Xenopus tropicalis: one gene and its partners. The protein of the gene in region 4 interacts with the protein of the main gene of each other region in a biochemical or structural test. Links are inferred from orthologs where the notes say so. Each region holds a gene or a part of one and is shown on either strand. Other genes may lie near its edges. The genes, in order: sobp, daxx, pias1, sumo2, tpr, top2a and smchd1.

Evidence for each region.
Region 1: the proteins of sumo2 (region 4) and sobp form a complex in vitro, tested with the Homo sapiens proteins (2 studies listed by BioGRID, with this or other methods). The link is inferred for Xenopus tropicalis from reciprocal best matches to the Homo sapiens genes SUMO2 and SOBP.
Region 2: the proteins of sumo2 (region 4) and daxx form a complex in vitro, tested with the Homo sapiens proteins (4 studies listed by BioGRID, with this or other methods). The link is inferred for Xenopus tropicalis from reciprocal best matches to the Homo sapiens genes SUMO2 and DAXX.
Region 3: the proteins of sumo2 (region 4) and pias1 form a complex in vitro, tested with the Homo sapiens proteins (4 studies listed by BioGRID). The link is inferred for Xenopus tropicalis from reciprocal best matches to the Homo sapiens genes SUMO2 and PIAS1.
Region 5: the proteins of sumo2 (region 4) and tpr form a complex in vitro, tested with the Homo sapiens proteins (2 studies listed by BioGRID). The link is inferred for Xenopus tropicalis from reciprocal best matches to the Homo sapiens genes SUMO2 and TPR.
Region 6: the proteins of sumo2 (region 4) and top2a form a complex in vitro, tested with the Homo sapiens proteins (2 studies listed by BioGRID). The link is inferred for Xenopus tropicalis from reciprocal best matches to the Homo sapiens genes SUMO2 and TOP2A.
Region 7: the proteins of sumo2 (region 4) and smchd1 form a complex in vitro, tested with the Homo sapiens proteins (2 studies listed by BioGRID). The link is inferred for Xenopus tropicalis from reciprocal best matches to the Homo sapiens genes SUMO2 and SMCHD1.

The regions. Positions count from the first base shown.
Region 1 is NC_030681.2:78,843,763-78,847,926, forward strand, and holds the start of sobp (sine oculis-binding protein homolog), read right to left. Parts: upstream 2,801-4,164; coding exon 2,705-2,800; intron 2,484-2,704; exon of another isoform or gene 2,286-2,483; intron 1-2,285. UniProt on the Homo sapiens protein: Implicated in development of the cochlea.
Region 2 is NC_030684.2:72,202,352-72,206,600, forward strand, and holds the start of daxx (death domain-associated protein 6), read right to left. Parts: upstream 2,801-4,249; 5' UTR 2,615-2,800; intron 1-2,614. UniProt on the Homo sapiens protein: Transcription corepressor known to repress transcriptional potential of several sumoylated transcription factors. Down-regulates basal and activated transcription.
Region 3 is NC_030679.2:117,674,199-117,677,698, forward strand, and holds part of pias1 (E3 SUMO-protein ligase PIAS1), read left to right. Parts: intron 1-163; coding exon 164-211; intron 212-773; coding exon 774-864; intron 865-949; coding exon 950-1,084; intron 1,085-1,480; coding exon 1,481-1,586; intron 1,587-3,076; coding exon 3,077-3,150; intron 3,151-3,499; coding exon 3,500-3,500. UniProt on the Homo sapiens protein: Functions as an E3-type small ubiquitin-like modifier (SUMO) ligase, stabilizing the interaction between UBE2I and the substrate, and as a SUMO-tethering factor. Catalyzes sumoylation of various proteins, such as CEBPB, MRE11, MTA1, PTK2 and PML.
Region 4 is NC_030686.2:44,411,113-44,415,200, reverse strand, and holds the start of sumo2 (small ubiquitin-related modifier 2 precursor), read right to left. Parts: upstream 2,801-4,088; 5' UTR 2,791-2,800; coding exon 2,770-2,790; intron 2,060-2,769; exon of another isoform or gene 1,823-2,059; intron 1,476-1,822; exon of another isoform or gene 618-1,475; intron 16-617; coding exon 1-15. UniProt on the Homo sapiens protein: Ubiquitin-like protein that can be covalently attached to proteins as a monomer or as a lysine-linked polymer.
Region 5 is NC_030680.2:119,736,954-119,740,453, reverse strand, and holds part of tpr (nucleoprotein TPR), read right to left. Parts: intron 2,867-3,500; coding exon 2,691-2,866; intron 1,534-2,690; coding exon 1,386-1,533; intron 844-1,385; coding exon 706-843; intron 472-705; coding exon 340-471; intron 1-339.
Region 6 is NC_030686.2:8,636,589-8,640,088, forward strand, and holds part of top2a (DNA topoisomerase 2-alpha), read left to right. Parts: intron 1-1,127; coding exon 1,128-1,211; intron 1,212-1,314; coding exon 1,315-1,509; intron 1,510-1,643; coding exon 1,644-1,773; intron 1,774-1,863; coding exon 1,864-2,010; intron 2,011-2,298; coding exon 2,299-2,473; intron 2,474-2,817; coding exon 2,818-2,870; intron 2,871-3,162; coding exon 3,163-3,315; intron 3,316-3,500. UniProt on the Homo sapiens protein: Key decatenating enzyme that alters DNA topology by binding to two double-stranded DNA molecules, generating a double-stranded break in one of the strands, passing the intact strand through the broken strand, and religating the broken strand.
Region 7 is NC_030682.2:107,280,104-107,283,603, forward strand, and holds part of smchd1 (structural maintenance of chromosomes flexible hinge domain-containing protein 1), read right to left. Parts: intron 3,341-3,500; coding exon 3,247-3,340; intron 1,790-3,246; coding exon 1,579-1,789; intron 1-1,578. UniProt on the Homo sapiens protein: Non-canonical member of the structural maintenance of chromosomes (SMC) protein family that plays a key role in epigenetic silencing by regulating chromatin architecture.

The DNA of each region.
Region 1 (4,164 bases), on a different chromosome or scaffold from region 4:
AGTTCTTTTTCTTCTGTTAGCAGAGAGAGGCAACTCAATCCAATGTGGTTTGAAACTTGAGTAGGTCACTGTACACCATGATAAAATTCCCTAATCCCTGGGCCAAATTTCCCTCAGGGGGGCCTCCTCCTACCCCTTTACTTTCCAAGCTGACTTTTCCATTCCCACTCTCGTGTTTCCCTCTTCTTCATTTCTTTCATTTCCCCTACCTTAAAGCCTTGATACCCGATCCTTTGCCAATGCTCAGGTTACAGTTTTTACAGCTTAGACCGTCTATTGCTGTATACATTCCTTTCTTTCTGCTCTGCAGTGATTACTTACCAGGGCTTATTTTACACTAGCCCAGATGAAAGCTGTTCAGATGAAGGGAAACATAGCCAGGCTGTTTGAACATTACAGATATGAAACTACACAAGAGCACATTGTGTCCCTCTTGACATTTTGTCTCAAACTCATTTTACACTGTTTCCACTTTGCTGTTACTGTATTCCAAGCCCCATATAGATGGAGCCTTCTTGCATTACTTGATTGGTCAGAACAAAAATAATCCCCTTGGTGGAAAGTTAACTGTTTTCTTGGAATTGTGGCTATGCATGATGAATCTGAAACAGTGCAATTCCAGGGCAGGGGAGAGAGATGCAGTGAGGGCAATGGTTAATCACTAGAAATAATTAAGCAATATTTCTGCTGGGCTATTTTTGGTAGTAGTAGGGTCCCAGTATTTATACAAAACAGGACTGGCCAACCTATACTCCTTCAAATGTTGTTCAACTATAACTCACTCAGTACTCACTACCTGCAGCTGGAAGTTGTGCCTTTAATAAAAACTGAAGGGCTGCAGGATGGACAATACCAAAGCTGTCTCCATCTTGCTCTACTGCTGCCATATTGCTCTACTATACCTGTTTTCCTACATTGTCCCTACCTATCCTAATAGCCCTACTATGTGCAGTAGGAGGTAGCCTTCCCCTATTAAGACCCCCCATACAAACAGCTCTGATTTCTATCACATCTAAAGATGTCTAATGCAAAAATATTGTTACCCTTTCTACTGTATGTTTTAGCAACCCAAGACCAGAACACTGTAAAAAGGAAATTCTCAGAGATACTGTTAAGTTTAGTCCTTAATACCAAAGCATCAGTTCAAAATTGTGTAATTTTCCCTTCACACAATGTTGTTTTTGTTTCTACCCCACCAGTTCAGACAAACATCTGCTATGAAGAACAGCTATCTCCCAAACCACCGAGTGTGCCTGCAGCCAAAATAAACAAAACAAACCCAGAGGATCCAGCACAGTCAGCCTTTATATCCAGCCAGGATAACATTTCACATGTTTTGATTAAAATTAGCTAATTTGTAATTCTAGAACCTATGTTAAAAGCTGCAATCCATATAGATCACATTAAGCGATGGCTCAAAGCTGCCAATGACAATGTGATAGATTGGGCAACTTGGCGGTGATGAAAGTAGGTAGGTTAACCAACAGCTAAAATTAACCATTTCTATTAATATGTTCTCATATGAGTAAAGTTTTGTTATATATAAGTAATACAAAAAAATAGACCCTAGTACACCAGGAGTCATGATTGTGTTCATTGATCACCATACAACTGCCCATGTCTTTACAACCTGGCAACATGTGTGAATAGCATGACAAGTAATCTATTTTCTTTTCATTACTATGTAGCAAACCATTTCTCTAAGAAGAAGAAATGGTACAGTATAACATAGACATACACCATCAAGATATAACATAGACATATACAGTAAGGGTCTGTTATATGTAAGCAAGCCAACGTTCCACATGGAAGTCTCTTGCCAATTAGCTGTTAGTACATCCAGTAGCTTATAAAAGCAGCAGGGTGAAATTAAAACACTGGGTCTCACTCAGGCCTAAATTGGTTTAATGCCTGTACAATCAGCAGAAGAAAAGCATAAATGCTAGTTAAACGCCTTCACTTTTAGATTTTATTTCAAGGGATACTGCTTGCTGAGCTGGATCGACACAGATTTCTGAATACACCATGGCAATCTTCTGCTATGTAGCAGCACAGTGAGCTTAGTAGGACCTGGTGGGATGCAGGTTCCACACTAACATCTGGAAGACCAGTCTCATACAACAGGATCTCATAAGCAACCCCTTTTGGGTTTCCAAAAATAGCTGATCCAGTCCATGACAGGTATCTGACTACCAACAGAAAGGATCATGTAGCTTCAACTTTCATTTACAATACATATACACTTATTGCAGCATTCGCTTTAAAGGCACTACAAAGGTACAAACCTGTTGAAGAACTGCAACTCTCAACTTCAGCCGACGCAGGTATACAACAAATGCACAAGAACCACTCTAACCCCCCATTGACAAATGTATGCACTAGACAATTTGATAGGAGGGCGAGAGGAAGCAGGGGTTCTTAATATGGAAGCACAACCTGCCTGTAAAAAAGTCTTTGAATAAAGTGACAGGCTGGCGATACAATAAGCAACGTGTTCCCGTGGAGCAAAATCAGCGCTCCGGACTGTGAATCTGTCTCTGTTTTCAGCCCAGGAGGCGGGGCTGTGCCATTGAGCGCATCTTACAGAAAATGACAAGCACTAACATTATATACACATATATTATATGTTCCCGGCGTTTATACTGCAACAAACAACAGAGGAATAGAAGGAGCCCCATTCTAATCTCACAGTGCCATCTCTTACCTTCATCTCCTCGTTGATCTCTCTTTTCACAGGGTGGGCAGGTTTCCTGCTTCTCTTATTTTCTGGGGGTCTCCCCTCTTTTTCCATTTCTGCCATTTTTTTTAGTGTGCGTGTTTCTTGCTTCTACTGCTGAAATGGCTGCTAGATTATAAAGTGTATGGGGGGATTTGGGGGGAGCAGTAATGGGAAGTGGCGATTCCCCCCCACCCACCCAATGTGTTCAGAGGTGAAAGGCGTCAGGAACTGTGTGAGGAGGGAGCTGTATAGGGAGGGCTGGTGATGCCAGGCTGAGGGGCTGTGAGTGCCCTGCTGTCAGCTCAGCCATCTTCCGCCTATGGCTCAGTGTGCATGAGTGTCAGGCTTGTTGCTTTGTGTCTATGGCAGTGTGTGTATGTTTGTGTGACTGTAGCAGGGGGAGAGGGAGGAGAGACAGAGAGAGAGCTCCTTGTGTAGAACAGTAGAGGGGGTTTGTCCCTCCCAGGCTGTGAGAGAGGAGGAGGAGCGCCTGCCAAAATGTTCCTCTGCGCCTCCTCCTACTCACACACTGATGGAGAGAATGTGCCAGGAGCGCTGCTGGACACATCTGGGAGAGGTGGGAGTCAGGCTGGGATAGTGCCACGAGTAGCCTCCTTCCTCTCTTCCTACTCACCAGCCCCATTTGATGGATTCCCTCATCAGTCTATGGCAGTATAGTAATGGCAGTCCAACCACACCACACTGGTTTTCACACAGCAGTAATAAGGTTGAAATAGATTTTATGCACTTTTGAGTAAGACTCTCAGATCCTATTTTTATTCGTTAGGGCATTGTAATAACACAGATTTTTGTAAATGTAAAACCCTGCACAACCACCTATATAAATAAACAATAATGGAGACAGTAAAACCAATATGCACTTCAGTTTCATGCCCCTTCTGGGGTGAAATACCCCATTATACGCAGTGACATTTCCAATCTCCCCATTCCTGAGCACAATTACACATGGAGCACAAGTTGTAATTCTATAACGTCTTTACTTTTTAAATGCCCATAGATAGAATGTTTTATTTCAATGCTTATAAATGCAAGGGGTGCTCTGTGTACAGAAGTGCTATTCCCACCAGCAGGGACTTACCTACAAAAATAGCAGGTCCTATGAACACTGAGAGGCCCAGGAGATATTGGGATCAGCGTCGAACAATTTTTAGGTAATGTTTAGCAGAATTGTGTTATTCCTGGTGTTTAAGGTTCCCCTAATATGATTTTATTCTGGTTATGGCACTGCTCCCCAGACAGATGCCATTGTTTAGCTCTCCACCTGAGTGTACAAAAGCAGAAAAAAATCAGTGAGAGGCATTACTATAATAATGTGTGAGTTGCTAGCGTTTCTATGAGTCACTTGCACTCTGTGACTAGGCAAGAGATTCAGCCCTGGCTGTGGGATCAGATAAGGGCAAGTAAGAGAGCGGCATTCTCCTGCC
Region 2 (4,249 bases), on a different chromosome or scaffold from region 4:
AAAAATCTTAGCTAGACATACCCAATTTAGTAAAAAAACAAATGAAAACTATAAATGTTGGGGAAGGTAGGAGAGGATGGCAGGGTGCAGAAATAGGAGGTGAAATGCGACAACTAATTAGCACACCGCAAACTGCTGCAGGATTAGTTGCAGTGATTCGTATATTAGCCTATGGTCAGGTGAGGGTGTTTACTGAGGCTCCTGGGCCCACACGTAGCATATGGCGCATATTTTTGGCAAGCCGAAAAACGCATGCTGAGAATATGCTCTATACGCTTAAAAATCCCCCTACCTGTGCCTGCACCCGAATGAATTGAATACGCTCGGGTGCAGGCACATGTAGCCGATATCCGCCTAAACGCAAATGAGGCAGGAGCTTTTTTTATTTGCCTAAAAAGTCATCCATCCATTTCTTAAAACTAATGTAAATGCAGGTACAACCACTTTAAAAATAGATTTTCCACAACTTCACACCTCAGTTCATTTGATACAATGCCAGATAGGAGGGATTGGAAATACATTATGTAAGGCCAAATCATTTTTATCTTTTCTGATTCTTGGAAGTTGTGTAGAAACCACTGTTGACCTCAATTAAATATATTTCATAAAATTATGTGCTGGTAGACTTCTAAGCAGATATATACTAAATAGCTGCACAAAAAAACAGTGCAATCTGCATTGCACTTAATTGTGAATTGGCTATTCAGCCAGTTGACTTTATAAGTTGGTGAGGATATTAGTGTTTTATATTCAATTTCAACAAGAATGAGCTGAATGAGATCACGTGCTGCTTCATGTTTTTTTTCCAGTCACTTCTACAGGAATTGTATACTTAAAGGACATGTAAACCCTACATTTGCCTACAATGTATATCAGTTGGGCACGTCTCCCCCACCCAAATGACATCATTTGCACTGCATATATCCTCTCCGCTTGCTAGCACCATCACATTTTCCTAAAGCAAATAGCAGCTTTCACCTGGTGGCCATTTTTCCTCTAATACATAATCAGATACATTTAAATATGCAAACAGCATACACACACACAGACCCTTATTCAGCATACATTCCATCAAGAATACAGGCTTACACAGGCACAACTGTCTTTGATAAAAGTTCTGCTTTGTTTGAGTTGAGCTCAGGAGAGGAGGTTAGGAGAAAAAAATTGAAGCAGACAGCTAGAGCTGAGTTTCTATGGGAACCAGCAATGCCATCTCTTCACTGGCTGCTAAGACTGGAGGGCGTGTCTAGTAATCTGAGCTTAGAACAACTGAGCATGTCCACAAGCCAGAAGTCAAAGCAAATTCCTGAGGGTGGGGGCCGAGTGGGTTACAGGAGGAGCATCTAAGTGATTAAGGAGATGTTGCAGCCTTACTATTAAAGATTTCAAAGAGGCTGTTCGCTGATTAAATTTTTGTGTGTGGGGTTTACATGTCCTTTAAAAGAATAATTATACCCTAAAAAGTAATATGGCTAGAAACTGAAATTATTGGACCAGCCTAAAGGTTCAGCATCTCTATATTAGTAATGATCCAGACCTTCAAACTCATGACAGGAGCTCCCCATCTTCTGTTAGAAGTGCCGGTGACACTCACACGCTCAGTGGGCTATGGGCAGCTGTTAAAAAGCTTAGGGGTCCTCACAAATTATAAAGCAGAAAATGAGGTTTGCCAGTCATGTAAACTAATGCTACAGGATTTACTAAACTCTAAAGCTAAGTGTGATGTAGGAAGAGGAAAATAGAAATGGGGGTCCCTGAATTACCCCCATATATGCCCCCCTCTTCTGGGTTAATAAACTTTAATATTTAGGTGAAATGTCGACGAAGGACATAAAGCTTTTCAAACTAAACAATGCTGATCCCATTGTGGTGGACATGAAACCCAAAATTTCACACTGGGCACAGCTTAAATGATCTTAACCCAAACAAGGGGCACATGCCCCAGATGTAAAGGTGGTCCTGGGGCCTGGTTACATGTAAAACTGTCTTGTCCGGATATCCATGATTATTGAATCCTGATCTTAGCTTTTATTTCTAAGGGAATGGTCCTGAAAATAGAACCCAACCCAGCAACTGCAGTTTTAGGTCTGACTACTGGAATCACCTCCTGCAGAATACTTTCCTTCTACCTGTATAGTTCTATGTAAAAAAAGAAATTATACTTAGTGGAATAGATTCAGATAGAGGCTGTAAACAAAGCCCTACCATTTTATAAGGTACATTTGGCTTTTCTTTTTCTTTTTTCTTTGCTTTTCTCCCTTTTTCTCACTTTCTATTTTATAATTCGCATTAAAAAGGGAAGGAGGTCCCTACAATAAGTCTGCACACAACATTAATGTCTATAAAATAATCAGATAGCTTTAATGCCATTAAATACACATGGAGCTATAACATCTCGCCACCGCGGCTGCCGTATGTGTGTGACAGACGGGAGTTCCAAGGCAGCTAGCAGGGCCACAGACCAACTGCATTTGCACGGACACAGAACACTTCTCTACTTGTCTTTAACTGCTGCCAAATGTTACGCCTGTCAGGTTACAAGACTTCTTCCAAAATCTTTTTGTTACTACAATACCACCCCAATATATAGAAAGCTAAATAAGCAGGTGATTACCTTGGTGAGTAGCCGAATTTTTAGCAATCTGCCACACGTAGTACCATAGGCGCACAGACTATATTATAAAAATCGTATTCCCAAACACAAATAACATACGGTATAATCGGAAAATTATCGCGCCAGTCCCACTCAACGTCCGCTTCCGGTCCCGTTTAGATTCAGCTATTCCACTATCTGCTTCCGTTTCCGTGTAAGAAAGTGGGCGGTGCTTGCGACGTAACGTAACCTTGCGTAGGGAAGTCTGAGCCGCAATGAGTTGTTTTTTAGTACAATTAGCATAACCCAGTCTCTTTCCCTATGGTGCTGGTACTGCTGTCCAGGCACTGAGGCTGATACAGTAATCTTTTTAAGTTTAGGGAGGCTCTAGGTATGACTTACTGGTAAAACTGTACTGATTCATCTCCTGCAGCAAGACAGCTCTCTCAGTCTGCTGGCTTGTGTTACATTACATAGTAACATAGTAAGTTAGGTTGAAAAAAGACATATATCCATAAAGTTCAACCATAAAGTATGCCTCTGCCTGCCCTATGCTGCCTGTGTGTGCCATACTCTGCCTGCCCTATGCTGCCAGTGTGTGCCATACTCTGCCTGCCCTTCCCTGCCTGTGTGTGCCATACTCTGCCTGCCCTTAGCTGCCTGTGTGTGCCATACTCTGCCTGCCCTACCCTGCCTGTGTGTGCCATACTCTGCCTGCCCTTCCCTGCCTGTGTGTGCCATACTCTGCCTGCCCTTAGCTGCCTGTGTGTCATGCTCTGCCTGCCTTACCCTGCCTGTGTGTGCCATTCCCTCCCTGCCGTATGCTGCCTGTGTGTGCCATACCCTCCCTGCCCTATGCTGCCTGTGTGTGCCATACCATCCCTGCCCTATGCTGCCTGCATGTGCCATACTCTGCCTGCCCTTAGCTGCGTGTGTGTGCCATACTCTGCCTGCCCTTCCCTGCCTGTGTGTGCCATACTCTGCCTGCCCTTAGCTGCCTGTGTGTCATGCTCTGCCTGCCTTACCCTGCCTGTGTGTGCCATTCCCTCCCTGCCGTATGCTGCCTGTGTGTGCCATACCCTCCCTGCCCTATGCTGCCTGTGTGTGCCATACCATCCCTGCCCTATGCTGCCTGCATGTGCCATACTCTGCCTGCCCTTAGCTGCGTGTGTGTGCCATACCCTCCCTGCCCTATGCTGCCAGTGTGTGCCATACTCTGCCTGCTCTACCTGTGTGTGCCATACACACAGACAGCATAGGTCAGCTATGCAGGGATTAAAAGGTGTGAACAACACAGGGGATTACATTTTTAAACAATACAGGGGTTTACAGCCTGAATCTGAGGTGAGAACAATGCAGGGGGGCAGTTAATCTCAGTACTGATACCATTTAAAGTTTACACAAAGGTAAGCCATCAAAGCAGCCAGACAGGTGGGGGGCCACACAGAGGGGGTCGCCAGTTGGACAGCACTGATCCAGAGGAAGGCAGAAAACCCCATCTGAAGCCTCTTTAATTTGCCATAGAGGGGAAAAAATTCCTTCCTGACTCCAAGATGGCAATCGGACCAGTCCCTGGATCAACTTGTACTAAGAACTATCCCCCATACCCCTGTATTCCCTCACTTGTACTGAGAGCTATCTCCCATACCCCTGTAT
Region 3 (3,500 bases), on a different chromosome or scaffold from region 4:
AACTCTTTCTCTAGTAGGAATGGAGACTTTGTAGCTCGTGTGTTGATATTTGTGGGTAGTAAAAGGATTCCTTTTGTTCATGCACTGGTGCATCATCTGAGTTGCATAGATCCACACGGGCCTGTAATCTTTTGTATTAATTCTTTTGTTTTTTCCTCTCCAGGGATATCTCTGGGACAAAATGTGACTTCACAGTACAAGTGCAGCTCAGGTATCTTTTCATTCACAAAATATGTTGTGGCAAAAGGGTTTGTGTCTTTTCACTTTCCACTGTGATGTCTCTTTTTGTAACAACAGTTTATATTTTAAGTATTCATTTTGGGAGTAAAGTAACCTATTAAGGAATCTCTCCAAACTGCTCTATATCTATATGTAAAAGGCAGAACTCTGTCCACTAATTTAATTCTTAAAATGGCATTTTTCTATTTAGGAGTACCCAATAGCACACACTACTAAAGTATATTTTTATGAAAATGGTTTACATAGATAAAGAAGGGTTTTACATATGATCTTGTTTTATGCAATATATTTTTATAGAGACTTACATTGTTTGGGGGTATAGTTTTCCTTTGATATAATCTGCATCATTTTAGAAATAAAGTTAAATGACTAAATTAAGATCAGACTGCTGGGGTTATTTAAGTATCTTAGTCTTCTCTTAGCCCATGAAAAGGATGTAAAGTGTTCTTTTTAATTTAGTGGTCCAATCATAGTGTTATCAATGCCACTATTTTAATCCATCAGCCTGGGGGTAAACTCCTTTCTTTTTTTAGGTTCTGTCTCTCTGAGACAAGCTGCCCCCAAGAAGATCATTTTCCACCAAATCTGTGTGTAAAGGTGAATGGAAAACCATGTAACCTTCCAGTAAGTGAATCTCCTTGACTTTTCTTTTATTGTGTGCTTTGTGTCTCATATACAAAGACTTTCATTGCTGTTGCCTTGTTTACAGGGGTATCTTCCACCAACTAAAAATGGGGTTGAACCAAAGCGACCTAGTCGACCAATCAATATTACCTCACTTGTACGGCTTTCCACAACAGTCCCAAACACAATTGTGGTGTCGTGGACTGCAGAAATTGGAAGGGTAAGACTTCCAGAACTCATAACAGCCAGTATCTACATGTGTATTGTGCGTTTTAGGTTAGTAAGACACAGTTGTCTTTACTGAATTGGATAAATGGTTATTTCTGTTCCGTTTCTTTAGGTTTATGACTTAGTTCACATTAAATGGCCAGTGACCAATGTCTGGCTATATTATGTTTTCTTTTAAAGGTCTTCCCCCCCCCCCCCTTTGTTTTTTTTGTTTTTTTTTTTTATAAATTCCTTTCCTTAATGTTTACTGAGTGGGAAAAGACAGAAAGATACATATTCTCATCAACTATAAATTACTTCTAAGGATTTCCAGTTTCATATAAAAGAGCAGTACCTTATTCAGTGTTGTGTAGATTTCTGTTGCTTACTGAGTTTTATTTATCTTTAGAATTTTTCTTTGGCTGTTTATCTGGTGAAGCAGCTTTCATCGGCCATCTTGCTTCAGAGACTGCGAGCAAAAGGAATCCGCAACCCTGACCATTCCAGGGCTCTGAGTAAGAAATAAACTGCTTATTTTGCTTCTGGTCTTCTTATTTTCTCCTTTGTTCCCTGAAGTGATTGAATGAGCACTGTCAACTAGGTTCTTTTCTTTTCTCTTTTCTGCAGCCCTTTGACTAGGAAATAATACAAAGTAGAACATCTTGCTATTCGTTTTCTCATCCTTGCTCTATTCATCATTGCACATTGTATATTTTTTTTTTTTATTTGATGTTAATGATTCATCATACCGTACTCATGCCTTTTTAAAGAGGCACATGAACGATACGTCCCATAAATAGGCATCAAAACTAAAGGCAAAAACCTCATGCCTTCTACCATAACCGAAACACACCAGGGGAAATTACCTATATAGCATAGTTTAAGAAAAAGAGAACATTAATTTTAATTTCTATCGTGTTGGCAGGAGGCTTTTATGAATATTGAATACAGGAATCCTTTTTTTTTTTTTGTTTTGTTTTGTTTCTGTTTCGTTTTTAAAGCATTGTCTGAGCTACCGGGTCTTCTGTAGTAGCCCAGCTGTTTTGTCAGTGAGGGCATGCCACACTAGGACCATCATTTGTTTTTGTAAGTTAAATTGGGTTTACACAAGCCATTTATTTTCTTTTCCTGAGAGAATCTTTCTTGAGTGGCGGCACCATACACAGAATTTTTTAGTACTACAGGTCACCATTTTCTACAGTTGACTTGCTAGTGATTACTCTAATGCCAGGAAAGAGGCTTGGCTACTGAACGTTGTCTGCATGCTGGGTCTACCCCAGACAGATGTGATAGCAGCAAGTTCAAATACCAAGGATCCTTAGATTTATGGTAGGAGTTTTCTGGAACAAAGAATATAACAATAGAGTAAATACAAAATGTAGATGATTCCACCTCTTTGCATCCTACCCAAAGCTTTATAAATAAGGCTACAACCAAAATATATTAGTAGATTTGTAATTTCTAAACCGGAAAACATTGCCAGACAATGTGATCTTGACCATAATGACTACACAATCTGAAATGCTCTAGAAATGAAAAGTGAATAAAATATATCAATGCAAGAATTGTACAAGGAATCAGTCAGCTTGAGATTGTTACAAGTTTTTTTTTTTTTTTTCTCTCTACTATGGGTCAGTGATCCTAGTGGGTAAACTGTTTTTCCCCAAATCAAATGACTGGTATGAGATCAATTATCCAGAAAGCCCTAAATAATGGAAGGGTCATCTCCCATAGACTCCATTTTAACAAAATAATTCACATTTTTAGAAATTTCCCTTTTTCTCAGTAATAATAAAACAGTAAGATATAATTAATCCTTACTGGTAGCCAAACAATCCTATTGAGCTCATTTAATGTTTAAATGAGTAGATTAGTAGACTTATAGTATGGTGATCCAAATACAAAAAGATCGCTTATCTGGAAAACCCCCTGAGCATTCTGGATAACAGGTCCCATGCCTGTACTTATATAATTACATTATATATTCTTTTTGCTTTCCCTTTAGTTAAGGAGAAGCTCACAGCTGATCCAGACAGTGAAATCGCCACAACCAGTTTACGTGTCTCCCTTCTGTGTCCGGTAAAAGCCTTTTGATTACTTTTGTAGCCAATCTGAAACCTTTCCCTGACTGTTATCCAATCTCTTATTGTAAGAATTGACCTGTTGTTGACAGCAGTGTCCTATCTATCTCATAATTTTCTTGCATGCTTCTGTTCTAAAACTTCTGTGAATCATTTTATTTTACTCTGCAGTGAAGCAGGCTCCGTAAAACATATCTTTATATTTCTGTAAAATAATTTATTTGGATTTGGTATTTATTCATCAAAAAACCTGCATGCCAATTATTTAGAAAATTATTTGGAATTCTACTTAATTACACTTCCTTCTTTAACCAACAATCTGTCATGTTGCTGCTTTTTCATTTCAGC
Region 4 (4,088 bases):
GGTCTTAACACCTTCCTAAAAGAAGTAAAAAGTGGAATGAGTGCTGGGAAGGGGCATCATGGCACAGAAACACTGGTAACGCTTGTGGTTATTCATCCCGTTGTGAGAAATGAGCTCTTTGCACCCCATTCTAGAGAATACTTTGGCACCAAATGACAAAAGAACTCTAGTTATATTAGATCTGGCCGGGGACCATGCTACATTTGGTAATGTGTTCACAACGCACAAGAAGAAAGATGGGGAGCACAGAAGTTATAAGGCTGCATGTCATTACACAAAATACACCAAATGTTCCCTTTAGAACAACAGTCACTGCTGGGAGCTACAGTTCTGGAATGTTTACTGACTGCACAGGCATTTAACTTACAACTACACTCACAAAAGCTGGTCTAGCCCCTAACCTCATCGTATATATTAGCCTTACAGTACGCTTGCCTGTGTCTCTAGGTCCCCAATTAACAGGTCCCAGTGATTAAGAGAGCAATATCACATTGAGGGCCAGTATGCAGAATAACATGGTACTGCTTCACAGTGTCACAGACCCTGAATCTAAAGACTTAATACAAGTTTAAAAGTTCTCAGAACTTTCTTTCCACTGTGCCTAATGCACCTTACCCTTCCTGCTTCTAACACGTGTTCCTCCATTACCTACACTACTTCCTCAATTCTAAAATTCCTTCCATACTAAGAATTCTCCTTCCTTAGGTCGAAGACACACAGTAGTAGCAGCTACTTGTCACAGCTACTAAAATATTCAATGCCAATCAGTTACTGATAATTCTCTGTTTTCGCAACGCTCCATACTGTCTAAGGCAGGGGATTTTCTGGTGTTTTGTAGCTGTAAAAAATTAGTTGCTGCTAGTAGCTCAGTGTGTCTTCACCCTTATGCCCCTTACTCTGCATGGAATGCCCCCAACATAACCTAGGCTTCTGGCCAGTATTAACTCTATTTAATGGCACTGAGCCCTGCATACCCATTTTCCCACCATTAAGCTCTCCCATAATACTTGCCCTTCTCACTGGCCAGAGGCTACATCTTTTCCCACTCAACATTCTTGAATTCCTCTCTCCCCAAGTTACCTCATTCCCTAAAGTCAATGCCCCCAACATACCTGGGCTCAGGGCCCCCTAAGCTCCCAATTCCCAGCCCCAGTATATGCCCCCAACATACCTGGGCTCAGGGCCCCCTAAGCTCCCAATTCCCAGCCCCAGTATATGCCCCCAACATACCTGGGCTCAGGGCCCCCTAAGCTCCCAATTCACAGCCCCAGTATATGCCCCCAACATACCTGGGCTCAGGGCCCCCTAAGCTCCCAATTCACAGCCCCAGTATATGCCCCCAACATACCTGGGCTCAGGGCCCCCTAAGCTCCCAATTCCCAGTATATGCCCCCAACATACCTGGGCTCAGGGCCCCCTAAGCTCCCAATTCCCAGTATATGCCCCCAACATACCTGGGCTCAGGGCCCCCTAAGCTCCCAATTCCCAGTATATGCCCCCAACATACCTGGGCTCAGGGCCCCCTAAGCTCCCAATTCACAGCCCCAGTATATGCCCCCAACATACCTGGGCTCAGGGCCCCCTAAGCTCCCAATTCCCAGTATATGCCCCCAACATACCTGGGCTCAGGGCCCTCTAAGCTGCCAATTCCCAGCCCCAGTATATTCCCCCCCAACATACCTGGGCTCAGGGCCCCCTAACCTCCCTATTCCCAGCCCCAGTATATGTCCCCAACATACCTAGGCTCAGAGCCCCCTAAACTGCCAATTCCCAGGCCCAGTATATTCCCCCCCCAACATACCTGGGCTCAGGGCCCCCTAACCTCCCAATTCCCAGCCCCAGTATATTCCCCCACAACATACCTGGGCTCAGGCCCCCCTAATATCCCTATTCCCAGTATAGCCAAGGTCGCCCATTCCCATTTACTTCCCATCTCCCAATACTGGCAGTGCCCAACATACCCTTCCCCAGTGCTCCCTGGTTCCTGTCCTCCCTTCCCCAGTGCTCCCTGGCTCCTGTGCTCCCTTCCCCAGTGCTCCCTGGTTCCTGTGCTCCCTGGTTCCTGTGCTCCCTTCCCCAGTGCTCCCTTCCCCAGTGCTCCCTTCCCCAGTGCTCCCTTCCCCAGTGCTCCCTTCCCCAGTGCTCCCTTCCCCAGTGCTCCCTTCCCCAGTGCTCCCTTCCCCAGTGCTCCCTTCCCCAGTGCTCCCTTCCCCAGTGCTCCCTTCCCCTGTGCTCCCTTCCCCTGTGCTCCCTTCCCCTGTGCTCCCTTCCCCTGTGCTCCCTTCCCCTGTGCTCCCTTCCCCTGTGCTCCCTTCCCCTGTGCTCCCTTCCCCTGTGCTCCCTTCCCCAGTGCTCCCTTCCCCAGTGCTCCCTGGTTCCTGTGCTCCCTTCCCCAGTGCTCCCTTCCCCTGTGCTCCCTTCCCCAGTGCTCCCTTCCCCTGTGCTCCCTTCCCCAGTGCTCCCTTCCCCAGTGCTCCCTTCCCCAGTGCTCCCTTCCCCAGTGCTCCCTGGTTCCTGTGCTCCCTTCCCCATAAACCTAGTGGGCCAATGCAGTGCAGCCTCCCATAACCAAGCCCCGCTAGTATGGGCGTCCCTCTCCCGGCTGTCTCCCTACGGGCCCCTCCCGTACCCACAGAGCCCCCGCACAGCCCGCAGGCCGCTGCCCCCTCCCTTTAGCGCCTAGGCCTCTCCCTCCTCCTGCCCCGCACCCACTGCCCCCGGCCCCAAGCCCGCTATGCGACCCTTCCCTCTCCCAGCCCGGAGCAGGACCTTGGGCTTATCGTCCGCCATTGTCAGTTCGCTCCCGGTGCCCGGTACTCTCGCTGCTGCCTCCTCCTCACAAAGAGCCTGAACTGGCGCGGGACGTGGAACGAGAGCGCGCACGTACGGAAAGGAAGATTTGGCGCACTCTCTGCGTGCGCGCCCCCGCCGCTATTTCCACTGTAGGGAAAAGCCCGCCTTGGGGAGCACGTGGCGGCGGGGGCGCGCATGGGGGGAGGGGTCTGACTCTGAGGAGAGTCAGGGTGAGGTTGGGCCGCATTGTACCCGGGATTGGCTAAATCCCTTCCAGTGACTTCATTGGCCTAGTCTCATAGAGGGGGCAGGAGCCATGATAGAAGCTTCCAGAAACAGCCCCCCCTATAATTAAGCCAAAGGAGGAAGCCATACCAGTTGCCATACCAGTTACCTTTTCACTAAAACTTTATTTTGATCAGTCCTGCACTTAAGGGCAAATGCCCATACCTGGTGCCTCTTACCTTCCAGTTTGTGCCTGTATGTTACCCAACCACTTAGATTGTAAGCTCTACGGGGCAGGGACCTCCTTCCTACTGTGTCTCATACCCCATGGCACTTACTCCCTGTGTATTTATACTTATTTATTGAAATTTATTATAACACTTGCCCTACCTGTGGGTAATTGTGTATATTGTAAGATTGTACAGTGCTGCGTATCCTTGTGGCGCTTTATAAATAAAGTTATACATACCAAAAACATAGAGAAGCTAACCATATCCAAAGCTACCAGACAAAACATAAAAATCATATCCAAACCATATCCAAAGTTACCAGACAAAACATAAAAATCATATCCAAACCATATCCAAAGTTACCAGACAAAACATAAAAATCATATCCAAACCATATCCAAAGTTACCAGACAAAACATAAAAATCATATCCAAACCATATCCAAAGTTTCCAGACAAAACATAAAAATCATGGAAGGTGGCTGCCCTTTTAGGGACATAAAATACAGCCATTTCCCAGGGTGGGACTGGACGAGCGGAACGATAGGAGAAAAACCGTCTGTTGAGGTGGTGGACCCCACACACCTCATTCCAACACTGGGATTTACTGTCTTTCTTCCCTATTTACTGTTAATAACACTGACAGCCTTCTGCTCCTCATAGTTACCCCCCCAAAAATGAAAAGGCCTAAAACCCACCCAAAATTGCCTAGGGTACAAGCAGTGCATATTGGGACATGGTTATAAGGGCATTTATTTTCTTTCATTTGGAGTTTGCTTGTAAGGTGGAGATCTGTAAACAACAAAGGGATGACAATACAAATGTCACAAGCAAAAGGGAG
Region 5 (3,500 bases), on a different chromosome or scaffold from region 4:
ACAGGTTTCCCTCTGTGACCTGTGTCAGTATGAATCATGTGCTAATGTTATTTTAATGCAGAGCACTATATTTCCCCAATACTCCTAATCTTTTCAGTGAAACTTCCGATTTGCGTCAAAATGACCATCACACACAGCTGTGCCAGCTACAACTTGCAGTTTGTAAATGAGCCCTATGCTCTGGCAATATTGGAATACAGAAGGTTTAGGGAAATGGCTCAAAGATACAAATATGCAAAGTTATTATTCGATAATGATTCAGTTAATGTGCAATGAACTATAATACATAACTATGGTAGCATTAGCTAGCTTTTCTATGTATAAAATGGCGGGACAGACCTGTGTTCGAGCCCTCCAGCGCTTGACATCCTCCTCCAATAATTTCTTTTCAGCCTGCAGCATTCCACTCTTCTCACTCAGCTCCGCATTGGATTCTTGCAATGGCAGGATGTTTGATTCAAGTTTACGTATCTGAAATATTAGTATTATCCAAATTATTAATTTCAACTCACAACAATTTAAACTTCATGAAGCCAATAATTCACACAGCAGTAACCTACAAAACAAACCTCAACTGCTATTGCAGCACTTTCTGCATGCCAAATAAAAGGTTAAAGTTTCAGTACCACCACCATCCAGGGCAAGTTTAACAGAAGGACTGTCCAATGATAGAGCTGCAAAAGCATTTCTATGTTCCTCACTCACCTTTGCTTGCAGTTGCTGCAGTTCCTGTTCTTGCTTTTCCTTCTCTTCCCTCAAAATCCTGTTACTTTCTATTAGAACATTCATAGTTTCGGTTTTCTTCATTAGTTCTTCATGCTGAGCCATGGTCTTGGCAGTTACCTTTGAAGAGTGCAAGTTACATCACAAACTGTTGCATGTTACATGCAAGTAGGAAGTCACACATAAAGTACCATAATGGTTTATTTGATAGGTAGACACACTACAGGATTTAAGATGCAGTAGGAGTATAAATAGTTACGGGCTCTCTTTAAATTAAACCAACCCATATCAATTTGCTTGGATTGTACCTTAAAATGGCTAGCATATTTCTGGGGGAAATATTTTCAGATGACACGTTAATTGGCAGGTACAATCCACAGCTGTACCTCCACCACTGTCACTGTGCTGCATGTTAGTATGGATGCGAACAGAAACACTGATTATGTACAGTATCAAACCAAATTAGCCCACAGCCTAAACAGACAGATACTGTACTATGAGCCAGACAGCTCCCCTTCACTTCCTTGTCAGTGTACCATGCATTGGGCCACATGGTTTATAAGTAGATTGTTATAGGATGCCTGGTAAATAAACATGCCAATATCAATGATACATGCTCCAAGAGACTGAAGAAATCTAGCATAAAGCAAGAGACAACCTACCTGCACTTTCTCACGCTCAGCATTCAAGCTGTCCTGCAGCTCATGCACTTCCCGTTCCATGTGCTCTATGCGCTGTCTGTACCGCAAGCATTCAACTTGTGCAACTTCAAATCTGGCTTCGGCTATCTCCTTCTCCCGCCGAACAAATCTACAAAATAGGTTGCATTTCACTCGAGATAATGAGCCAAGAACGGTGCAGACTACCCACCATTTGCACAGTTCTGTTATGGCATTATCAAGTTATTGAGATTTCCTTTTGAGGGCAGAACTCAAATTACTGCTTTTTATTCCAATTCTCATCTAAAACGGGCTTGTTGCGGGCGACTAATCTCCGCGATATGACATCCCACCGGCTTGAATGTAAATCACCAGTGGGATGGCATATACGGCTCTGCGATTTCGCAAAATCACGGAAGATGCCTTGAGAGGAAACTTCCGCAATTTCGGGAAATTGCAGCACTGCATATGCCATCCCAATGGCGATTTACATTCAAGCCGGTGGGATGGCATATGGGGGAGATTAGTCGCAGGCGACTAATCTCCCCGTCTACCATGGCTATAATTCAGTTTTTACGGGGATAATAAGGCCCACTATAGGCCCTCAGTAAGTGTGGAAATATTTAAAATGGACTAGTACAGGTATGGGATCACTTATCTGGAAACCCATTATTTAGAAAACACCATAATACAACACTATAAATTCCCGCATGGCCCTGTTCAAACAAGCATTTTTTTCCAGATTTGCTTTTCATCTATAATAACCAGAAGGTACAAGTAGTTGATTATAACAAAGATATGAAATCCATACAGATGGCAAAACCACCCCGGGTGCTTCAAATTAAAGAGAAACCTCAGAATTCCAGAACACCAGGTGCCAAGCATTGCAGGTAACTACTACACCTGCATTGTTCTCAGAAGAATGATAGGTAGATAGATGGTTTGTTGCAATATCCCTAGTCAGAACCCGCATAACATTAAACTGCATATAGTTTAAATAAGAAATGCTCAAATACACACAGCATTGGCATTGCAGCACTGACAACAAAAGCATTTTGCCACAGTAGTACTTTGAACTGGCAGGACACATATGCCTCTTCTGGAGAAACTCAAAAATAACAGTAAGGCAAGTTACATGGCATGTGCCACTGAATTATAGAATTTCAATTTGTAATAGATAAACTACCTTATTTGCATATACAATATCCAATTTAAATGTAAGGTAAATGTATCAAGTGGCTCATCTAATCTCAGAAGTCAAATATATTTTACCAAATAAGGAGTTTCTTATGCAATAAAACAGTATACCTGAGAATTTCCATTACTTGCTCCTGGGACTTGCCCTCCTCACCGAATGATATATTCAACGCTCCCTCCTGAACAGAGCTCACCATCTTTTTACTGAGGCTTTCAATCTGCTCATGAAGCAGTCTGTTCTGTTTTTCTAGATCTTCGCAACGTGACTGTATCTGGGACACTTCCTCCTACAGTTATGTAGCAAGTATGTAGCAGTCAGAAAAGCCAAAAATATATAGATCATTTGAAAGAAAGCTTTAATAGCACAGCCTGACTTCAACCAGATATAAAAATAAATTGGACAATGGAGTCAGTGTGACTTATGTGTAAGTAATACAATATAATATACTTTGATTGTAAGCTCCACTTGGGCAGTGTATAAGAGTATAACATCTATAAAGTGCTGCTAAATATGTCACTGCCCACACAGGGATGAACCTCCCGAAGCGGGCGGCCATGTTATTTAGCATGCGCATTAGTGAGACTCAATACTGTAGGAGCCTATTTTTTTTTTTTTTAAGACTGTTTCCCTCAACCGAAGCGCGGGTTCTATTATTCTGCACCTCTGGTGGGGGAAGCAATTTTAGTGTGATAGGGCAACTTTAAGTGGTTTAACAAAATTATTATATGAGCGTTTTAGGAATTAGCACTATTTTTATACATAGCCTCCCCATTTTCAGGGGCTCAAAAGTGCATAATATTTTTTGCATCCAACGTCAGCCTAAAGTCTGAAACCCATGATTTGCTTAAAATGCTGGGTTTCCACCCTGGAGATGCATTACAGCAGCTATCAGTTTCTTTACTTGCTAAAAGTGCAGACGG
Region 6 (3,500 bases), about 36 Mb from region 4:
TAAAAGCAGATATATGCAAACCTTTTTACTATTCTACAGGGTTTGATTAACTTGAAACCACACCCATGTTATCACATGACCATACCCATATTAATGGTTGTAGTACAGCAAAAACCTGCCATACTCTGCCTGCCCTACCCTGCCTGTGTGTGCCATACTTTCACTGTGTGTGCCATTCTTGGCTGGTTTGTGCCATACTTGGCCTGTGTGTGCCATACTCTGCCTTCCCTACCCTACCTGTGTGTGCCATACTCTGCTTGCCCTATGCTGCCCGTGTGTATGGCACACACAGGCAGCCTACAGTGACACAATGCTGGCACTGCTCCTACAGTCTGCACAATAAATATATATTAAAAAACTTTTTAATTGCAGTACCACCTCAGTATATGTTCTTTTTGTAGTATGCAGGGATTATTTGTGGGTTTCTACTGCTCCTGAGGTGTGAACAGGGGAACACAGTTTAATAGGTTCTTCTACATTACATCCCAGAGGCTGGTTATCTTCAAACTCAAAAGGCTCTAAAATCATTACAAAGATTTGGTTGTCTGAATAAAAGACCTTTCAAAAAGTCTTAAATGGCAAAGAACTAAAATAGTTCTTTAGAGTTGTTTTTCCATCTTAAGTGAATTTAGTTGTTTGGGTTTGACTAGGAACAAATGTGGCTTATTTGCCAATTCTAAGATGGTTAGATATTATGACCAGTAGTGGTCGGCAGATACAAGCCCATGAAATGTCAGCCTTATATAGCCATATGGTATGGTACCATAAATCTCTGCTACAGCATCATATCTTGGTGTGTGCTGGGCTTCCATTTTTTCTTGCTTTCCTGGATTATGGACCTGGCCAGTTTAGGGCGTTACACCACTGGCGACAGTCAGATACTATACTGGGGGTGCTTCCAAACATACATTACTGTCTCCAGAAACCAACCCTTCTTTAATTGTGACTTTCAGTGGTCGGATAACTCATCAGAGATGTTTGCTTGGGTTTTACTGCATAGCATTTACTTATTACTAAATATGGAGTTGCCTTGATGTTGGTTTGATAATATTTAAATACTTCCACCTTCTCTAGTGGTGAGTGTCACTATCTGGCATTTCCAATAAATGCTGTCATTTTGTTTTTAGAACGCAGAGCTTCAGGACCTGAAAAAGAAATCACCTTCTGACTTGTGGAAAGAAGACCTTTCTGCATTTGTTGAGGAGCTAGACGTAAGTAGTAACATCTATCCTTCCTTTGTCTATTTGGTATTTGTTGCTTTATATAAATTGCTGCGGTTCCAACAACAGGAGTTGTGTTCTTGCTTTGTGACAGCGTGTAGAAGCCAAAGAAAGGGAAGAACAGTCCGTAACAACAGGCAAAGTGGTTAAAGGAAAGAGTGGGAGACCGCAAGTAAAGAAAATGCAATTGCAGGAAATTATGCCATCTCCACATGGCAGGCGTGTTGTCCCTAAGGTCACAACAGCCATGAAAGCGGAAGCCACCAAAAAGATGAAAAAGAGAATTAAGGTAAACGAGCGTTTCTGTATAGATTTAGGTTTGCTTGGCTCAACAATAACTGGCCTTTTTGAGCATATGTATATATAGAATATGTATTGACTTTTGCATTTATAAAATGTACCCAAACATTTGCCATTTGTTAGGGTGAGGATGTTGCTAAGAAGATGGATTTCGAAGACGATGGTGAAGGAGACAGCTTAAATTCACCAGAACAAAGTCCAGAGAGCCTAACGCTTGCCGAAAGATTAAGCAAAAAAGTTAAAAAAGAGCCAGGTGTGTAAATGGTTTTTAATGAAAGCTTCTCTGTTTGCATGCTGGTGTTATGCTGCAATCTAACATTTCTATAACTGCTTTTACATAAAGGCGCAAAGGCTGTCAAAGACAAGAAGCAGGCAACGTTACCCTTCAAGCCAGTAAAAAAAGAGGCAAAGAGCACATTCCAGGATTCAGAGAGCGAGTCCGAGGAAGAAGTGGTGCCACGTGCTGCTCAGCCACGCCGCAATGTTGCAGGTGAGAAATGCTAGTAGCAAATTTACCTCTGCAGTCTGAACACAGTTGGGGTTTTATGAACATAGTGTTTAACATGGTGTTAGGGCTTCCCGACAAATGCCTCTGATGCAAGTACTGGTGCAAAAAGGGGGCCCTATAGAGGCCAGTGCTGGGGGTTTTTTTGTTTGTTTTTAGAGCTTCTTTATTGTTTCATTCATTCATTTACTGATAGTTGCCTAGGCCTGCTATGGAATGTGTTACCACATAAAAGGGTTCTGCTTGATAACAAATGTTTTTATTTGCTTCTAGCTAAAGTGAACTATATGTTGAGCTCTGATGAAGACGGTGAAGAAGAGGGAAGCGGCATAAAGATGCCTCAGGAGAAGAGTGACAGTGAATTCAGTGATTTCAACCCAAAATCTGATTCAGAAGATGAATCCTTTGTAGTTGCAAAGCCAGCCAAAAAGCCCAGAGCTGCGCCCAAGTGAGTACTCTCCCCTCCCTTTAGGTACAAATCAACTTAAGCCATTTCTTGGTGACAATTTTGTTTCCACCATTTAATGCTGCTTACTAAAAAAAGGATGTGATTGGAAACTACCTTACTGGCATCCTGATGGAAATTGGTAGCTTCTAAATGTTAGTATTATATAGACAACATGCATTTTTTCCCTGGCAACCAGGTAGAAACTTGAATGAGGGGGAGTGATTTAAAAAACTTATAAAAAGTAACAGAATTGCAAACATACAGAGTTGGTGACTACTGATTTAAAGGCTTTTTTTTCTGTAAGATTTGATGTTTTGTCTAAAATGGTTTAACTTATTTAACAGGAAAGCTAAAAAGATTGAAAGCCCAGAAAACTCTCCACAGAAAGACAAAGCAGGTATGTTTTATCAAGAATAGCTGCTTGGGATATTCACATAGTAATACATTACATATGGCAACGTGTTTTGGGGGTTTTATGAGCCCAGTACAAATGGGACCACAATGAAATAAAGGATCACACATGTATGTTTACCCCAGTTCAGCCATATGTTGGCTTGTTTTTCTGCTGCAATGAAACATGCTATATTCATAGATAACATAACACAACATATATTAACCATTCTGTATCCTGGCAGATCTGAGTTATGTCTTGGTATTAATGTGACTGGTTCTGTTGTATTTTTGTCTAGCTCCAGTAATTGCATTAGATGAAGATGAGGATACTCCCATAATGACCAGTGCTCCCAGCGCCCCTGCACCGGCTCCCAGTGCCAAAGTGTCAAGTGCTAAAGTGGCAGAGAAGAAACCTGCACCTAAAAAACGAGTCCAGAAACCGAAGACTGGTGAGAACTTCTGTTTTGCAATATATTAAACGTGGGCAATTTTTTTTGTTTAAGTATCTTAATATCCAAGTTTGGCCCACTACAGATCTTTACTGCGTTTGCCGTGACCTTGTGTATACAGAAGTATGCCGATGTAAAACACTTCATTTCTGGTGTTTGTATCACAGTAAATATAATAATAATAA
Region 7 (3,500 bases), on a different chromosome or scaffold from region 4:
GCTTCAATGGCTGTTTAATCAGGTATGGTAAAGCATTCTGTAGAATAAATATAGAATTCTAGCTTGCACTATTGTGACTAATCTATTGGCAATAAAATGCCAAAATACCTTTCCTTCTCCTTTTAATCAATCTTTAAGGAACAGGCACTCTATCTCAAGGCATGGAGGCCTCTTAAAGAATAGACCATACCCACATTAATGGTGGTAGAGCAGCAAAAACCCAAATGGTTGGTGTTCACTGTAGGGATATCACCCTTTGCTCATATGTGAAGAATTATATTATGTAATTTTAAGACATACCCTTAAATCCATATGCCTCCTCCACCACTCTGGATAGCACAGCAATCCCACGCATATAATAACACACCTTAGGGACCATATAATGGCTATTTCCAAATGCTAACAAACTTCCAGAACAAATCCCTGCCAGGTTCACCTCCCACAGGCAGCGTAGGGCAGGCAGAGTACTACCTGTGTGCCATACTCTGCCTGCCCTATTCTGCCTGTGTGTTCCATTATCTGCCTGCCCTATGCTGTACATACAGTGACACAATGCTGGCACTGCCTCTACAGTCTGTCTGGGGTGTAAAAAGGAAAACAATGTAGAGGCTTACAGCAGTCTGAGCCTGAGGTTTGAACAATGCAGGGACTAAAAGGTGTGAACAGTACATAGAAATTATATGTTTAAATTATGCAGGGGTTTACAGCCTGAATTTGAGGTGTAAACAATGCAGGGGTCCAGTTAATCTCAGTACTGATACCATTTATTCTTATGCAAAGGTAAGCAGTCATAGCAGCCTGACAGGTGGGGGGGGGGGGGGGGGGGGGGGGGGGCACAAAGAGGGGTCCGCCAGTTGGACAGCACTGGTGTAGGGCAATAGTACAATATATTTTATTTACTTTAAAACATTTTTTAGTGTTAGTTCATTTAATACTCAAAAGCAACAGGTTACTGTTCCTTTAATACTCAAAGCAACATGAGGCAACAAAGAGGCTAAACAGTCTGGCATAAGCACTCAATACATGGTCTTCAAACATTTGACCAAAAAACTGAGAACAAGACCCAGATTCATGAAATAATAAAGTAAAAAGTACTTGGGGACAAGACTTCGGATAAAGCTAGGCTATTAATTTTAATCTTCCCAGACTCCAATTTTCGGTACTGTACCAGCCCACTGGATTAAAGTTTATATAATTTCAGTATTTGGAGTGGCCTAGTAGTATTTGGAGTGGACTAGTAATCTAAAATAGAAGAAAGGAGTAAAAGCATGAGCAAATGATGCCAAAAATAGTCATGGCTATTGTTTGGGAATGTTGAAACACTAGTAAATATTAGAAAATATCTAGAGCAGTGAGTGCTCCCCAACGCTTTTATTATTTTTTGCATCTTAATCTTGTACTTACAGATAACTGTAGAGGAGAAGTTATTTGAAAATGTATTTAGAGACTGTATTCAAGAATGTAGAAGTAGATCACAAAAATATTATAATTTCATATATGCCATGTATGGTGCATATACATTTTTTTAAATTGGTGTTTACATAGCTGCTAACTGAAAGATACCCAAGCCTTACTTACTTGTTGTCTTATAAGGATCTTCCGGATAGGTTTCCTGGTGGTATAAAAATGGGTGGTAACGTATAACACCTTCTACAACCCCTTCGCCTTCAACAAGGGCTTTAAATTCAAATGTGTCAGCTGCAGTATTGATATAAAGTGTTTGCATGTCATCTTTGATCTCTCTTAGGTTGACAATCTTTGGTGACTTTCCCTTTTCAAACAAGGAGAGCTGTAAAATAAAAAAGGCATTTATAATAGAAAAAGCTGCTATTGCAAATTTTTTACAATAAAAGAAAACTGGGAAAAAGCAGAACAAAAAAAAAATGATGTGTTTTAAATAACCCACAGCAGACCTGCATACAGATATTCTACAAAAAAAAATATAAATTAAAAGTCATGGAAAAAATATATGTAATGTAAAAACAAAGCAAACAATAAACTAAGCTAAATAGTGATGGCTGAGTTTTATATTAAAAGACAAAAAAAGTGTTGAGAGTTTATGCTTAAAGGAGAAGGAAAGCCAAAGTCACTTGGGGGTGCCAAAATGTTAGGCACCCCCAAGTGACTTTAATCGCTTACCTTGTACCCTGGGCTGGTGCCCCTGTTAGGAGAGAACAGCACCAGCCCAGGGTACCTGTAGCGGAGCGCTTCCTCCTTCCTTTTCCAAAAATGCCAGCGGTCGGCGCATGCGCAGTAGAGTGAAAAGCCAACTTTTCTGTTAAAGTTCGGCTTTTCACTCTACTGCACATGCGCGCGCACTGAAGCAGGAAGAAGGAAGCGCTGCAGCTACCCCGGGCTGGTGCTGTTCTCTCCGAACAGGGGCACCAGCCCGGGGTAAAAGGTAGGCGATTTAAGTCACTTGGGGGCGCCTAACATTTTGGCACCCCAAGTGACTTTGCCTTTCTTTCTCCGTAAATAATAAGCAATGGAACCAAAAAAAATTTAGTGTGAAGTTCTGTCAGTTTAACAGGTAGGAGGAACTGCAACAACCTGGATTAACTACCATAGTACTCCTTGGGTCCCGTATAAACATTGAGGTTTATTCATAGTTGGGCCCCTTAGTGCTCCTGTAGATTTGCTATTCATTTTGAATGAAGGGAGTTATTCTTGAACCGAATGCCAAACATAGGTCATACATTTTATAGCATCAGCTGTTAGAGACCTAAATAATGCTGCAGCATAATTTATGTTTCATGGCTCCATTTTAATCAGTGCCATGCTGCAGTTAAATCCTTACCTTGCTTACAAAGTAGTACTACTTCAAGCTACTGAAACAACACTCACAACAAGATGTTTAATAGGCTGTGCCAGTTTACCATATGAAGCAAAAAGATAAAATATCAAAAGAGTTGATTCCTATAACCTCCGTTCCTTTTGATTTACTCTTCTATTATAGCCCAGTATTCTTTAATAGGCTTCTTTTAATGACATCTGAAGGATGTCTTTGGTTCATTTATCACACTATATGACTATTAATTTGGGAACTGGAAAAAAAAAAAAATATGTTAGAATGAATGACCTCCATACATTTTACCTAGGTTAACTAATATCCTACCCATTGCCTGCAGTATTACAAAAATGAAACTGAAGATCTAGACAGCAGTCACAAGTGGTAAACTCTAAAGGCCCCTTTCAGATCAGCCAAAAACAAAGATGCATTATGTATACAAAAAAAATATGATTTACCTCAATGTCAAGATTAGTGGATGGCAATGAACTGCTTTTCCTGTTATTGAAATAATTTCCTTTTGGCCCATGGAGGTAGTAATGATAGATATGCCTGAAACAAAAAGGCCGATTAGAAATAAGATGAAAATATGTCTCCAGAGTCCTGACTAAAATTACTAAGAGGGATATTTTTAGGTAGTTATGTTATGTCTTCCCCACATTTCATTATCGGTTTTCTCCTGGTTCAGCCATGTCTTTCATATATTTTATCA